4 linked regions of the Callithrix jacchus genome follow. The protein of the gene in region 1 interacts with the protein of each later gene in a biochemical or structural test. Links are inferred from orthologs where the notes say so. Each region holds a gene or a part of one and is shown in the gene's direction. Other genes may lie near its edges. The genes, in order: PDK1, AKT1, RPS6KB1 and PDHA1.

Region 1 (3,565 bases):
TTTTAAACGCAGAAGGCCGATAAGAACATGATTGCAGGCCTCTAGTTTATACTCTGTGGCTTGTAAGATGATGTAAGTAATATGACAGGTTTAATAACCCCTGTACTGGAATTGGTAAACCAAAGTATTTGTCTTATGCAGCTACCTGCTTATTGCAATGAAGGGTACTGACTTTGTAATGACCACTTCTTGTCCTCAGTTAGTTACCCATATTTTTTGGACTGTCTTTAAAGGGTACAGTAACACTTCATTTTTTTAACATTTTAATCTGAAAATAACATTTAGCAAGAGTTTACTCCTTGCCTAGATATTGAGCAAACCTCACATGAATGTTTTTTAATCTTTAAAACAGTTCATTGAAATAATGCTATTTGTGCACAAAGAGGGTAAAGTAGCTTAAGGTTACGTGGTTAGCAAATGGTAGAATCCAAGCAGTCTTAATTTAAAAGTAAACATTATGCTATAGAGCCTTCTGAAAACATTCATTCGGAGTTGTAGAAAATAAATTGAGTAGTCAAGCAGAATAACACAGATTTGTGTTTCTTTTAAGAAAAAAGAAAATAAATCAATAAAAAGTGACTAGACTGAGGAGTTGTTGTTTTCGAAGAGTTTTGTTGTTTGTATTTTGTTTTAACAGTCTTGTTTTGAATCTCATTACAAACTAGGAATTCCAAATATCTTTTAAGCAGTAGAAACATTGGAATAAGTTAATAATACTCAGGATGATAACTTTGAATAAGAAAGCATTCATTTAGAAGTGTACATTCAGATTGTTATGTTAGAAAATTGGTTTTGTTACTGCTAATTAAGGCTTTTTTTCTCTTTTATTTATTTCTTTAACCATGTAATGTCTTCTAAGTGACAGAAGTGGGAAGGCTAGATGATTTGAAGATTTGTCTTTTAATATAATTGTTTACTTTTCCTCTCCCCTTTTATAAACTCATAAGATGAATGAAATGAGAATTCTTTTTTGTTTTTCTGTCCTAAGTGTTTCTTCTCTCTTTGAACCCTAGGGAAGAGTTCCAAAACAGGCAGGCTTTATTGGCTCATTCATCTGGATTCCTTACAGAGCATGTGTCCTAGAGTGCTTTGTCTTCTATGCAGAATGTCTCTGGAATACCATACTCATAGCCAGTGCTCAGATGACCTTAGTTGATAACAGTTAAAGAAAACCATTAACATTTTTAGGATTATGTTTTGTGGCAGCCTTACTCTTAGGAATCCAAGAAAATAATTAAATTTTGAAAGTTTTATTTTGGAGGCACTTATACTTGAATGGATTTGGTATATTTTATGATCTGAAATACATGTAAATAAGTATAGGAAAACATGAACCGATTTTTCTTTTACTAAGTTAGGGATTTTTTTTTGTCTAGTATAGCTTGTTAAACTTAAATTTTTGTATTAAACTTACTTGTCAAAATATTTGGCTGTTTTGACAGATGGGTTTGTTTAGCTTTACAGATACTGTGATACGGATCAGAAACCGACACAATGATGTCATTCCCACAATGGCCCAGGGTGTGATTGAATACAAGGAGAGCTTTGGGGTGGATCCTGTCACCAGCCAGAATGTTCAGTACTTTTTGGATCGATTCTACATGAGTCGCATTTCAATTAGAATGTTACTCAATCAGCACTGTAAGTGGCCTCAGTCAAGAGAAGCGGCTAAATAAGATGTGTTGGCATATTTTAAATTTATTTAGAAAACTTCCTTTTAGGTAGAAAATTTAGTTTTACTTTTTTGCTAATTAGGAAAAGTAAATAGACTGCCATCAAGAAAGGTATTTTTATTTAATGTAAAATACTATGTTTATCCTAAAAGAAAATATTTGTTCTACTGTTTGGTACAATTGAAACAGTATTCACATTTGGAAAAGAGCATTAAGTAGTTTAGCTTATTTTGTTTGTTTTTTATTTTTGGATAGCTTTATTGTTTGGTGGAAAAGGCAAAGGAAGTCCATCTCATCGAAAACACATTGGAAGCATAAATCCAAACTGCAATGTAGTTGAAGTTATTAAAGGTAAATCCTAACATTTCTCCTTGCAAAAAAGATACAAAAATCAAAATTATTGATTGTTATTTCTTACTATTAAAGCAGCTGTTTGCATCATGAGATAAAATGGCAGGCACACATGTGTGGGTTTGAAAATAACTTTATAGTATTATTTGTGCATTGTATATAGGATGACTATTTTATTCATATAATTATTTGTTAGGCAAAGTTTGATAAACCTTTTTGTTGTTGTTGTTGTTGTTGTTGTTGAGACAGGGTCTCACTCTGTTGCCCAGGCTGGAGTGCAGTGGTGCTGTCTCAGCTCACTGCATCCTCTGCCTCTTGAGTTCAAGCAATTCACCTGCCTCAGTCTCCCCAGTAGCTGGGATTACAGGCGCCCAATACTATGCCTGGCTAATTTTTGTATCTTTAGTGCAGACGGACTTTCACTTTGGCCAGGCTGGTCTAGAACTCCTGTCTGCCTCAGCCTCCCAAAGTGCTGGGATTACAGGCATGAGCCACTGAGCCCTGCTGAGGGTATCTTTCACTTAAAAAACAAAAAAGACCTGAGCAACGTAGTGAGACTATGGCTCTACCAAAAAAAAAACAAAGACTTACCCCAAACTATCAAAGTATATTTTCTTTTATAGAAAGTTTAAGATTTTCACTTGTCAATACTATTGCCATCTTAATGCATGAAACAGAAGTGTATATATTAAATCTTTTCTTTTTGTTTTTATTTGCACCAGATGGCTATGAAAATGCTAGGCGTCTGTGTGATTTGTATTATATTAACTCTCCCGAACTAGAACTTGGAGAACTAAATGGTAAGCCTGATGTTTTGTTTTCCTCAATAATTAGTGCTTTGATTACTTGGTAAGGGATAAGAATTTAAATGTTTTAATGGAAGATGACTTTTTCCTCAACTGCATTGTATATAAAGGCTAAAGGAAAGTAATCATGTGAAAAGTGTATATACAAATATATATATGTAATTTAGTCAGATTGTCAAAAATATTGGCTTTTTGTGCCTCATTGTCTTTATTTTTAATTGATAACTTTGATTCTTTGCTTATTTTTTATTTTCTGTTTAGTCATAGAAAAAAAATGATGCCAAGAAAGTTACATTTGACTTTTACATGCACTTCAGTAATGTAAGACTTACCCTTTTTCTACGTCATGAGTTGTAAATACTTTTCTCTTGTTGAGGGCATAGAAAGCCTAGGGTTTTAAAAGAGGAAAGAAAGATGCTGATCTATTTGAGAGTCTGTTAGTCTCTGATGGTTTTCATTTTAACTTGATTAGTGCTTTTTGGACAAAAGGGTTGAGATGCCTTGCAAGGGGATTGATGAGTCTCTTTCCTGAGGCATGGTAGTTTGACAGAGAAAAACATTTCCTACGATGACACTTTAAGAAGGTGTGGTAGGAAGAATAAAATGAAATAGGCTTTTACTAAGCTGTATCCTGGACCTTAGAGTGAGAGAGCAGTGAAGTTATACAATTGAAAATAGAATTGCTTGGTGGTTTTCTAAAGCCATATTAACTCTTCAGTTCTGTAATGGTAGCAT
Region 2 (3,565 bases), on another chromosome or scaffold:
CGGCCAGCCCCGACAACAGGTGCCCCAGAGCCCCACTACTCCCAGCTCCAGGGCTGGGGTGACACAGGACGGCACAAGTGGAGGAGCCAGCACCACTGTCTTCATGGCCAGGGGCTGGAGCCGGTGCCCAAGGGTGGCAAGACCACATCTGCCCGGCAGCCTGACGGGCATGGAGGGCTCAGCAGAGTGGGTGAGTGAGCCCCCTGGTGAGTGCTCCCGGGCATAGGGGCAGATTCTGAGCTCTGGACCCTTCTCCCTGCGACTGGGCATGTGTCATCCTCTGGAGGTGTCAGGCTGCCATGGATGGGCTCTGACTATCCCCTCCTGGGTCCACCTCAGAGCTGGCAACAGCTTCTCCCCACACTCAGCTGCTGGGTGGGGTGTCCCCCTCGCCACCAGCATCCCCCCAGTGGCCCTGGATCTGGCGGAGCGAGGGCTGGTCCTGTGGAGGCCATGCCCTGTGGTGCTGGTAGGAGGGGCATCGGACAGCCGGGGCTGGGGAGGAGGGAGAGGTCACCTGGCCTGGGGTGACCATTTGCGAAGCCCTGGTGGCTCACCTCTTACAGTGAAAACTGCCTGTGGCTTCCCGGAAGGAGAATGCCCTGGCTGCAGGGATGCCGGGGCCCGTGCCCTCTGAGTTCCCTGGGCCGCTGCTGTGCTGGGACGTGACCTGTGCACCAGGGAGGACTGGGCGCGCCTGCACTCACCATGTGGACTGAGCAGGGCTGGGGGTGGGTGGTCCGGTGATGGGACAATTGCTTGTCCCCCACATCCCTCCAGGTGTCCTGGTCTGGGCTCAGGTTGATAGGAAAACCCAGGCCCCAGAGCTCAGGGACCCCCAACCCTTTACCCTGCCCAGCGGCCTCTCCGATGAGGCCGTTGCCTCATTAGTAAGTTCCCCGTTGTTCAAATTCCTTGCTTGGCAAAATGTAAGTGGAACATTTTTTTCCGAGTGTCAGTATGAAAAATGGTCGTTGCTGGGCTGTCACTGGGGCAGCTGCTCCGATTCTGAAGTGCGTATGGCTGATGCGGCAAAACTGGAGGGAAAACGTTCCGTGCACCTGAGTGACCCACGGGTGGGACGCAGCCTGAACACCCTCTGTGCCCGGGGCCCCTGCCCAGCTGGCTGGGCCACCTCTGGGTCTGGCTTCCCTGGCAGTGCCCAGGATGGTGCTCCAGGCCCCTAAGACAGGGAGTGCTCTGCCAGAGCAGTGGCCGCTCCTGTCCCAGGATCCTGGCCCTCGGTCTCAGTGGTGCTGAACCAGGATCCCGGCCCTCGGTCTCAGTGGTGCTGAACCAGGATCCCGGCCCTCGGTCTCACTGGTGCTGAACCAGGATCCCGGCCCTCGGTCTCACTGGTGCTGAACCAGGATCCCGGCCCTCGGTCTCACTGGTGCTGAACCAGGATCCCGGCCCTCGGTCTCAGTGGTGCTGAACCAGGATCCCGGCCCTCGGTCTCACTGGTGCTGAACCAGGATCCCGGCCCTCGGTCTCAGTGGTGCTGAACCAGGATCCCGGCCCTCGGTCTCAGTGGTGCTGAACCAGGATCCCGGCCCTCGGTCTCACTGGTGCTGAACCAGGATCCCGGCCCTCGGTCTCAGTGCTGCTGAACCAGGATCCCGGCCCTCGGTCTCAATGGTGCTGAACCAGGATCCCGGCCCTCAGTCTCAATGGTGCTGAACCAGGATCCCGGCCCTCAGTCTCAATGGTGCTGAACCAGGATCCCGGCCCTCAGTCTCAGTGGTGCTGAACCAGGATCCCGGCCCTCAGTCTCAATGGTGCTGAACCAGGATCCCGGCCCTCGGTCTCACTGGTGCTGAACCAGGATCCCGGCCCTCAGTCTCAGTGGTGCTGAACCAGGATCCCGGCCCTCAGTCTCACTGGTGCTGAACCAGGATCCCGGCCCTCAGTCTCAGTGGTGCTGACCTCTCACTTCGGATGCCGTGCTCCATCCTCTTGGTGGGCAGGGGACAACAGCTGTGCTGGGCAGCCCACACGTGCCATTGTCACCTGCAGTTGCCACCTGGCCAACGCTGGTTGATTGGGGAATGCTCTCATCCCTGCAGCCCCTGCAGCCATAGCTGGTGCCTCCTCCTCCAGGAAGGCCATGTGGATTGGCTCAGACCTCCTCCAGCCTCCTGTCAATGGCTCTCCATCCCCTGAGTCCAGCTGGCCCAGCCCGTTTTCAGACACAGCTAGGGGTGGCTCTTCCAAGAGGGTGCTGTGGTGGGGCGAGTCTGCCTTCCTGTTGACCCAGGGCCGTTTCTGTCGCTGGCCCTAAGGAACACACCCCACCCCTTGCCTTCTCCCGGGGACTCAGGCGTCTCAGGCATGTGTGTCCTGGCACACCGGGTTGCTGCCTGGCTGCGCAGCGGGGGTCTGATGGGCAGTGTGTGTAGCCCTCACCGCCTGCCCCCTGCAGGGGAGTACATCAAGACTTGGCGGCCACGGTACTTCCTCCTCAAGAATGACGGCACCTTCATTGGCTACAAAGAGCGGCCGCAGGACGTGGACCAACGCGAGGCCCCCCTCAACAACTTCTCTGTGGCACGTGAGTGTCCCCCTGGCCTCTCGGGGTTTGGATTTGGGAGTTGGCTGGAGCCCTTTATACCCACCAGGCCCCACAGTGGGGTGCCCTGCAGCCTCCGTGTCCTGGGCCAATGAGGAACGTGCACCGGCTGAGTGGGGGTCTCTGGGTCAAGTCCCAAGGCTGAGGCTGGCTGAGTGGGGGTCTCTGGGTGAGTCCCAAGGCTGAGGCTGGCTGAGTGGGGGTCTCTGGGTGAGTCCCAAGGCTGAGGCTGGCTGAGTGGGGGTCTCTGGGTCAAGTCCCAAGGCTGAGGCTGGCTGAGTGGGGTCTCTGGGTCAAGTCCCAAGGCTGAGGCTGGCTGAGTGGGGGTCTCTGGGTGAGTCCCAAGGCTGAGGCTGGCTGAGTGGGGGTCTCTGGGTGAGTCCCAAGGCTGAGGCTGGCTGAGTGGGGGTCTCTGGGTCAAGTCCCAAGGCTGAGGCTGGCTGAGTGGGGGTCTCTGGGTGAGTCCCAAGGCTGAGGCTGGCTGAGTGGGGGTCTCTGGGTGAGTCCCAAGGCTGAGGCTGGCTGAGTGGGGGTCTCTGGGTGAGTCCCAAGGCTGAGGCTGGCTGAGTGGGGGTCTCTGGGTCAAGTCCCAAGGCTGAGGCTGGCTGAGTGGGGGTCTCTGGGTGAGTCCCAAGGCTGAGGCTGGCTGAGTGGGGGTCTCTGGGTCAAGTCCCAAGGGTGAGGCTGGCTGAGTGGGGGTCTCTGGGTGAGTCCCAAGGCTGAGGCTGGCTGAGTGGGGGTCTCTGGGTCAAGTCCCAAGGCTGAGGCTGGCTGAGTGGGGGTCTCTGGGTGAGTCCCAAGGCTGAGGCTGGCTGAGTGGGGGTCTCTGGGTGAGTCCCAAGGCTGAGGCTGGCTGAGTGGGGGTCTCTGGGTGAGTCCCAAGGCTGAGGCTGGCTGAGTGGGGGTCTCTGGGTGAGTCCCAAGGCTGAGGCTGGCTGAGTGGGGGTCTCTGGGTCAAGTCCCAAGGGTGAGGCTGGCTGAGTGGGGGTCTCTGGG
Region 3 (3,565 bases), on another chromosome or scaffold:
GAGAGGACTAAAACTAATAAAACTGCATTATTGCCTATTACAACTGAATGTTTTTGTAATGTTGATACTTACTCATCAAAAAAATACCAAATTCTAGCTGGGCAATGATCACATGTGCCTATAGTCTCAGCTACTTGCGGGGCTGAGGTGGGAGAAAAGCTTGGGTCCAGGAGTTTGAGGCTGCAGTGAGCTATGATATCACCACTGCACTACAGCCTGGGCAATATAGGGATACCCCATCTCTTTAAAAAAAAAAAAAAAAAAAATCTGTCCAACCATTGGCATAAAACCAGAAAGGTCATAAGATTAGATTTTGATGCCAAGTCAGAAAATTGTTTTTACTTGGCCTAATTATGAGAATCTGTTTTGGGGTGATAATCTTAGTTGCTTATATGCCTGTGGCTGGAAAGACTAGAAGTTTCTTTGCATTTCTCCTAATATTTAACTTTTTTTTCTTTTTTGAGACGGAGTCTTGCTCTTTCACCAGGCTGGAGTGCAGTGGCGCAATCTCGGCTCACTGCAACCTCCGCCTCCTGGGTTCAAGCGATTCTTCTGCCTCAGCCTCCTGAGTAGCTGGGACCACAGGCGTGTACCACCATGCATGGCTAATTTTTGTATTTTTAGTAGAGACAGGGTTTTACCACATTGGTCAGGATGGTCTCGAACTCCTGACCTCAGGTGATGTGCCTGCTTCAGTCTCCCAAAGTGCTGGGATTACAGGTGTGAGCCACCATCCCTGGCCATATTTAACATCTTCATATGGAGCCTGAATTTTTCTTTTTTTTTTTTTTCCTATTCCTGTCAATAGGATGGAATTTTGTTTGCCAGCATCTTGGGCTCAATAGCATTCTGCTTTCTTGAAATGCGTGCCTCACAAAATGGCTGGAAGGAGGTTAACAGGTCTAAAAATGAGGTTGAGGAGATGGGAGAGTATACACATTGGTGGTTTTAGGTGTGCATCATTGTGTTGGTATGTCAGACTGAACAACCCCATTTTTTTGAGATACATGACAAAATACCATTCTATAGTCCACTGTTTCTTTCAGGGTTTTACATATGTGGCTCCATCTGTACTTGAAAGTGTGAAAGAAAAGTTTTCCTTTGAACCAAAAATCCGATCACCTCGAAGATTTATTGGCAGCCCACGAACACCTGTCAGGTATTTCACACTCTTATTTTCACTTCTTTATTTTTTCTTTTTAACAACTTACAAGAGTGTTGCTTAATAAATTTATGCCAAGTTACATAAATGACTGTCATATTCTCTTTGACATAAGCACAGCATCGATATCTTACATTGCAAAGGACTAGTCTGACTATCTATGATGTTATATCGTTTACCTTCCCTTCTGAAAGTAAACAGCCACACTGGCAAATGTCCTCTTTATCCATTCACTCAGCATTTATTGTGCACCAAGAGCTGTGCTACATACTGCATGTTATGTGTGTGTGTGTGTGTGTGTGTATATATATATATATATATATATATATTACCATAATATAGGAATTGTCCCTGGCCTGATGAAGCTTACAATTTAGTGGGAGTGATGTAGGATACAATAATAAAGGATACACAAAATACACACAATAGACAAAGGATCACAAAAATATGTAATTACAAGTAGTGCTAAGTGCTATAATTTAAAAGGGGAAAAAAGGATGTGGTAGACAGCAGAGGAAAACAAGGAGGTTTCTACTCTCAGTGGTTAGAGAAAGGCCTCCCTAGAGTAGTAACATCTAGAAGTGAACAGAAAGAGACAGCCCTACAAGCAGAAGAACAGCAAATGCAAAAGCCCTGAGGGAGGAGAAAACTTGCCCTTTTCCTGGAAATGAAAGGGAAATCAGTGTTCCTGGAGTGTCTGGTGAGTGAGGAAGAGAATAGCAGAGGTTTAGAAAAGTATTGTATTTTAAATGCAATAGAAAGCTGTTTTGAGCAGGGGAGAGTAAAATGATATATATAATATGTGTACACACACACACACACACACACACACACACGGGTTTTGGGGGTCAGCTGTAGAGGTAAAGAGACCAGTTAGGAAATTCTAACAGTCTAGGAGAGAGAATGGCCCAACTTTTGCCTTTGTGCTAATTCACATGAAAATAAAATTAAATGAAAATAAAGTCATATTTTCCCACTCCCTTTAAATGTAAAGGAAATACTGTCTTGTTAAGATGATCCTTAAACAAATGAATGATAGCTCTTCCTTGTCTTAAAGCCCAGTCAAATTTTCTCCTGGGGATTTCTGGGGAAGAGGTGCTTCGGCCAGCACAGCAAATCCTCAGACACCTGTGGAATACCCAATGGAAACAAGTGGCATAGAGCAGATGGATGTGACAATGAGTGGGGAAGCATCAGCACCACTTCCAATACGACAGCCAAACTCTGGGCCATACAAAAAACAAGCTTTTCCCATGATCTCTAAAAGGCCAGAGCACCTGCGAATGAATCTATGACAGAGCAATGCTTTTAATGAATTTAAGGCAAAAAAGGTGGAGGGTGATGTGTGAGGATCCTGCAAGGTGAAACAAGAAGACTCAAAATGACAGTTTCACAGAGTCAATGTCATTACATAAAACACTTTGGAGAGAGGAAAAATAAACGTGGATTTAAAAAAATCAATCAATGGTGCAAAAAAAAAAACTTAAAGCAAAATAGTATTGCCGAACTCTTAGGCACATCAGTTAATGGATTCCTCGCAACATCTTCTCAACCTTATCAAGGATTTTCATGTTGATGACTCGAAACTGACAGTATTAAGGGTAGGATGTTGCTTCTGAATCACTGTTGAGTTCTGACTGTGTCGAAGAAAGGTTATCCTTTCATTAGGCAAGTACAAAATTGCCTATAATACTTGCAACTAAGGACAAATTAGCATGCAAGCTTGGTCAAACTTTTTCCAGCAACATGGAATAAAAGACAAAAGAAACTTACCAATTGATGTTTTACGTGCAAACAACCTGAATCTTTTTTTTATATAAATATATATTTTTCAAATAGATTTTTGATTCAGCTCATTATGAAAAACATCCCAAACTTTAAAATGCGAAATTATTGGTTGGTGTGAAGAAAGCCAGACAACTTGTTTCTTCTCTTGGTGAAATAATAAAATGCAAATGAATCATTGTTAACCACAGCTGTGGCTCGTTTGAGGGATTGGGGTGGACATGGGGTTTATTTTCATTAACCCAGCTGCAATACTTGTCTGTAATATGAGAAAAAAAAAAAAAAGAATCTATTTAATCATTTCTACTTGCAGTACTGCTATGTGCTAAGCTTAACTGGAAGCCTTGGAATGGGCATAAGTTGTATGTCCTACATTTCATCATTGTCCTGGGCCTGCATTGCACTGGAAAAAAATCGCCACCTGTTCTTATACCAGTATATTTGATTCAAGACGCCAAATGTGTTCAGCTCATGGCTGAAGAACAACAGAAGAGAGGGAGATAGGGATATCAGGGGAAGAGGGTGTTGCTATGGCCCACTCTCTGTCTAATCTCTTTACAGCAAATTGGTAAGATTTTCAGTTTTACTTCTTTCTACTATTTCTGCTGTCTACTTCCT
Region 4 (4,038 bases), on another chromosome or scaffold:
ACCTGAAAACGTGTGAAGACACATCCCATCTTCTCTGGTTTTACTGTTCATCTAATTTTCTGGTCTCCTCCTGGCAGGAGGACTGTATTTTATCTTGTGGAACTCTGGTCCGTGGAAATTGAGAGGAACTCACATGTGTGTCACTTCTGGGCAGAAGCTTTGAGAGCCGGTTTAAATGATCCCCTTTCCCTTCATCATGAGACAAGCTAAGTTCCAGAGGGTTGCCAAACTATGAGGGACCTGTGTTATGGGCAAGATGGCTTGTGTTACTTCAAATCCTTGAAGTGCCTGAAATTTGGAGGTCAGTTGTTGCCATAACATAACCGAGCCCATTCTAGTTAATCTGTTTTCTTCCTAACTTCTTTAATCGTTCTTCATAAGTCACAGTCTCAGCCCCTGGCCATTCTGACCACTGTCCCGTGGATTCCACTCAGTTTAGTCATTATCCCGCTTGAAATGTGGAGCCTAAATCTAAACCCGGAACCCCAGGTGCAATCCCTCTAGGGCACAATAGAATGGGTTCCTGAGCCCTTTGATCCTCTGAATAGACCCTCTCCTTGCTTTGGTGTTTGTCTGTGTGTGTGCTTTTATCCGTTGAGCCACTCTGTTGACTCGCAGTGAGCCTGTGAACCAATAACTAGAGAAGTTAGTGACCTTTCGACATATATCGGGAAACTGATTTTTTGATCCGCGTTCAAGTAGACAGGGCAGAATTTTCGAACCGCTACGTGATCTTTTAAAGACAAGTTAGTGGTAGACCATTTACAGAAACTAGGTGTTTTGTCTTTTGGCTTCGAGCACGTTGCTAATCTTCTTCATCTCGTGTAGTGAGCAAAGGCTGCGCAGCTGCAGCACCGGTAGGACTAGGCGCTCGGTAGGACGGGGCCTGGACTACCGGGGTCCCCGCCAGTCTGCAGGGCGGAATCTAGGAAACATCCTTTTCCGCGGCGCCCTGGAGGAGGGGCCCCACTTTCCCACGCAGGCGCTCTCAGGCCCCCGCCTCCTCACCCGCCCGCCGCGTGGCGACGGAGAGCCCGCAGCCCTCCGCCTCTGGCGCCGATACCCAATGTGCAGCCGCAGTCCTTTCGCAGGGGCGGGGCACTCCCCGGACGCCGTTCTGGTTGGCCAGCGGCCCGGCGCAGCGCATGACTTCATTACGACTCGGTTACGCCGCGCTCCGATTGAGGCGTGGCATTTGCTGGGGCGCCTGAAGGAGACTTGGGGGCACCCGAGTAGTGCCTCTTGGGCTGTTAGGAGTTGCCACTGTCTGCTTCATGAGGAAGATGCTCGCCGCAGTCTCCCGCGTGTTGTCTGGTGCTTCCCAGAAGCCGGTGAGACCTCCCAGGCGGGCCGGGGTGGGGCGCGAGCGGGGCCGGAGCGGGGGCCGGGCCACCCAGCGCGGGGTGGAAGGCTGTAGGGGAGCCGGGGAGCCTTTACTTTGCCTCCACGCCCTGCATTCCGTTCCTGGCCCCAGGGGAAGCGGCGCGGACAGGGATCCCGCCAAGGTCCGTGTGGACTTCCCCCTTCCGACTCCCCCCTTCCGCTCCCGGACCCAGCTGTGCGCCGGGCGAAGTCGGTGTGCTGTGTGCTGAAGAGGTGCCTTTTGGTTGACAGGACACGGAAAGAGGGGCCTCGGCCTCCTTCGAGTCTCCAGTTAACCCCAGTCATTTCACATCTTCCTTACTTAATTTCTCTTGACGGAGAGGCTTTGTAATAAATAGCGTACAATCTGGAGACCGGGTGGCTCCGTTCAAACAGCACCCTCACCATTGACCAGCCCTGTGACCTTGAGCAAGTTTTTAAAGGTCCCGGGGATCCTGTTTCCTAAAATGTTTGCTCTAGGTGGAGTTAATCTCTAAGTGGAGATAAGAGTCGTCTTTGAAATGTTATCAGTTAACTCTAAAATGGAGAGATAATAGAGTCCCCACCTCTTGGGGTTGTCTTGAGGATTCAACGAGTGACACGTGCGGAAACGGTTCCAACTAGCACCTGGCACATAGTCGATAGCAGGTGTGTTGAATGGTGTTATTTATTGAGTGCCCAGTTCGGTATACATGTCTTGAACACCTGTGCTCAGTTGGGAGGCGGGTTCACAGAGAGTCAGCCTCTTCGGAAACAAACTTCCTCCCCTTCTCTCTCAACATCTCAGCTTTTCTTGGCAGTGAGTTCAAGAGCGCTGAACCGGAACTCAGAGGACACTGCCCTCCCCTCACCTGCAAAGTCTTGGGGTACAAGTAGCTAAAGCAAACAGCAACGATGCTTGAGGGGTGGGGGTTACAGTTAGGGATATTTCATGGCTTAAGCATTTAGAGGTGCCTAACACCTAAGCTTCTAGCATTCTGACCCGTAGGCACAGTGAGGTCGTGTTAATCGGTGTAACTGCAGCACTCTTGATTCTGGCCCTGGTAATTCCCCCCAGGACTTGATGTCTATGACATGGCCATGTGTGGCTCATGCCTGTAATCCCAGCACTTCGGGAGGCCGAGGTGGGCGGATCACCTGAGGTCAGGAGTTCGGGACCAGCCTGGCCAAGGTGATGAAACCCTGTCTCTACTAAAAATACAAAAATTAGCTGGGCGTGATGGCAGGCCCTGGTAATCCCAGCTACTCTGGAGGCTGAGGCAGGAGAATCGTTTGAACCCGGGAGGCAGAGACTGCAGTGATCTGATATCAGGCCATTGCACTCCAGCCTGGGCAACAGGAGCAAGACTCTTTCTTTAGAAAAAAAAAAAAAAAAAAGGTTGGGGAGGATGTCATTCCCTTTAGGGGTATCTGTGAGTAGAGGGCTGTGCTGGTAGGCAGGGGCTCAGAAGCACCCTTCCCTTAGGCACCTGATGTAGGTTGTTTCTTCTGCAAGTCAGGTTTTCTGTATCAATCTGCAGGATTCTTCCCCCTCCTCCACCTTACAGAAGGAATAAAATAGAGTTCCAGATATGAAGTCACTTGAGAAAGTGCCCAGGTATCTTTCCACTTGGTGGTGTAAACTCTTCAGATAATTAGAAGTTTTCTGTGTCACTGTACTTGTCATGGTCTAATTAATTAGGAACCATTCCCGAAGCTTCTAAGGGTAGTACTAAGTTTCACCTGGATCTTTTTAAAGGGTGGAATAATAAACTCTAACCTGTTGACTCTTTGTATTTTGTAATTCTTCATACATGTGGATGTCTTTTTACTTAACTATAACACAAAATAGATCAAGGTTTTAATTTTCTATACTTTATAAGACATTTTGCATATAAGCCTTTGCCCAAAGTCCAGACAGTACACGATGAGCAGTGGCTCACCCAAATTAGGCAGACTTACTGGAGTCCTGCCATCTGTGTGATACTCCGTGAAGGGACGGACCAGAGAAGGGGAGGCAGCTGGTCTGATGGCTGTGACACAAGTTACAGCCTTAACCTCCCAAGACACCGTGTGTTTTTTCCTTTTTTGTTTTTTATTCTCCCTGGTGTCTGTTTTGTTTGAGACAGGTCTCCGTCACTCAGGCTAGAGTGCAGTGGCTTGATGACAGCTCACTACAGCCTCAGCCTGCTAGGCTCAAGTGATCCTCCTACCTTAGCCTCCCGAGTAGTTGGGAACACAGGCATGCACCACCACGCCTAGCCATTTAAAAAAAAAAAAATTTTTAATAGAGCCATGGTCTCGCTCTGTTGTCCAGTCTGGTGTCCAACTCCAGGCTCAAGCAGTCCTCCCACTTCGGCCTCCCAAAGTGCTGGGATTACTCTCACTCTCTAAAAGGCAGGCAGGGAGATTTATCTCAGGCTTAAAGATTGCCATTGTCTCATCAAAGAGTGTCTGGTGTGAAACTTTGAAATGAATTACAAGATTGTGTTTTCATTTTTGAATAAGGTTTATCATTTTCAAAATTCTTATTTTGTGGATGAAGACAGAATTGCATTTTAAAATGTTGTTCTTTTATTGTTTGCATTTCTGTATGACACCTTTTGTGAAATCTTTACTATCAGTGTTCTTTTGACTTTATAAGTGGTAGGTAAGAGTTCTAATTTACACTGTGTTGGAATCTGGAATTTTTGAAAG

The links.
Region 2: of the proteins of PDK1 (region 1) and AKT1, one has a biochemical effect on the other in vitro, tested with the Homo sapiens proteins (3 studies listed by BioGRID and IntAct, with this or other methods). The link is inferred for Callithrix jacchus from reciprocal best matches to the Homo sapiens genes PDK1 and AKT1.
Region 3: the proteins of PDK1 (region 1) and RPS6KB1 form a complex in vitro, tested with the Homo sapiens proteins (2 studies listed by BioGRID and IntAct, with this or other methods). The link is inferred for Callithrix jacchus from reciprocal best matches to the Homo sapiens genes PDK1 and RPS6KB1.
Region 4: the proteins of PDK1 (region 1) and PDHA1 form a complex in vitro, tested with the Homo sapiens proteins (2 studies listed by BioGRID, with this or other methods). The link is inferred for Callithrix jacchus from reciprocal best matches to the Homo sapiens genes PDK1 and PDHA1.

Annotation. Positions count from the first base shown.
Region 1 is NC_133507.1:56,928,927-56,932,491, reverse strand, and holds part of PDK1 (pyruvate dehydrogenase (acetyl-transferring) kinase isozyme 1, mitochondrial), read left to right. Parts: intron 1-1,456; coding exon 1,457-1,641; intron 1,642-1,928; coding exon 1,929-2,024; intron 2,025-2,746; coding exon 2,747-2,824; intron 2,825-3,565. UniProt on the Homo sapiens protein: Kinase that plays a key role in regulation of glucose and fatty acid metabolism and homeostasis via phosphorylation of the pyruvate dehydrogenase subunits PDHA1 and PDHA2.
Region 2 is NC_133509.1:139,649,484-139,653,048, reverse strand, and holds part of AKT1 (RAC-alpha serine/threonine-protein kinase), read left to right. Parts: intron 1-45; coding exon 46-190; intron 191-2,422; coding exon 2,423-2,551; intron 2,552-3,565. UniProt on the Homo sapiens protein: AKT1 is one of 3 closely related serine/threonine-protein kinases (AKT1, AKT2 and AKT3) called the AKT kinase, and which regulate many processes including metabolism, proliferation, cell survival, growth and angiogenesis.
Region 3 is NC_133506.1:94,532,524-94,536,088, forward strand, and holds part of RPS6KB1 (ribosomal protein S6 kinase beta-1), read left to right. Parts: intron 1-1,046; coding exon 1,047-1,159; intron 1,160-2,201; coding exon of another isoform or gene 2,202-2,217; exon of another isoform or gene 2,218-2,219; coding exon 2,220-2,457; 3' UTR 2,458-3,565. UniProt on the Homo sapiens protein: Serine/threonine-protein kinase that acts downstream of mTOR signaling in response to growth factors and nutrients to promote cell proliferation, cell growth and cell cycle progression.
Region 4 is NC_133524.1:19,816,544-19,820,581, forward strand, and holds the start of PDHA1 (pyruvate dehydrogenase E1 component subunit alpha, somatic form, mitochondrial), read left to right. Parts: upstream 1-1,174; 5' UTR 1,175-1,274; coding exon 1,275-1,331; intron 1,332-4,038. UniProt on the Homo sapiens protein: The pyruvate dehydrogenase complex catalyzes the overall conversion of pyruvate to acetyl-CoA and CO(2), and thereby links the glycolytic pathway to the tricarboxylic cycle.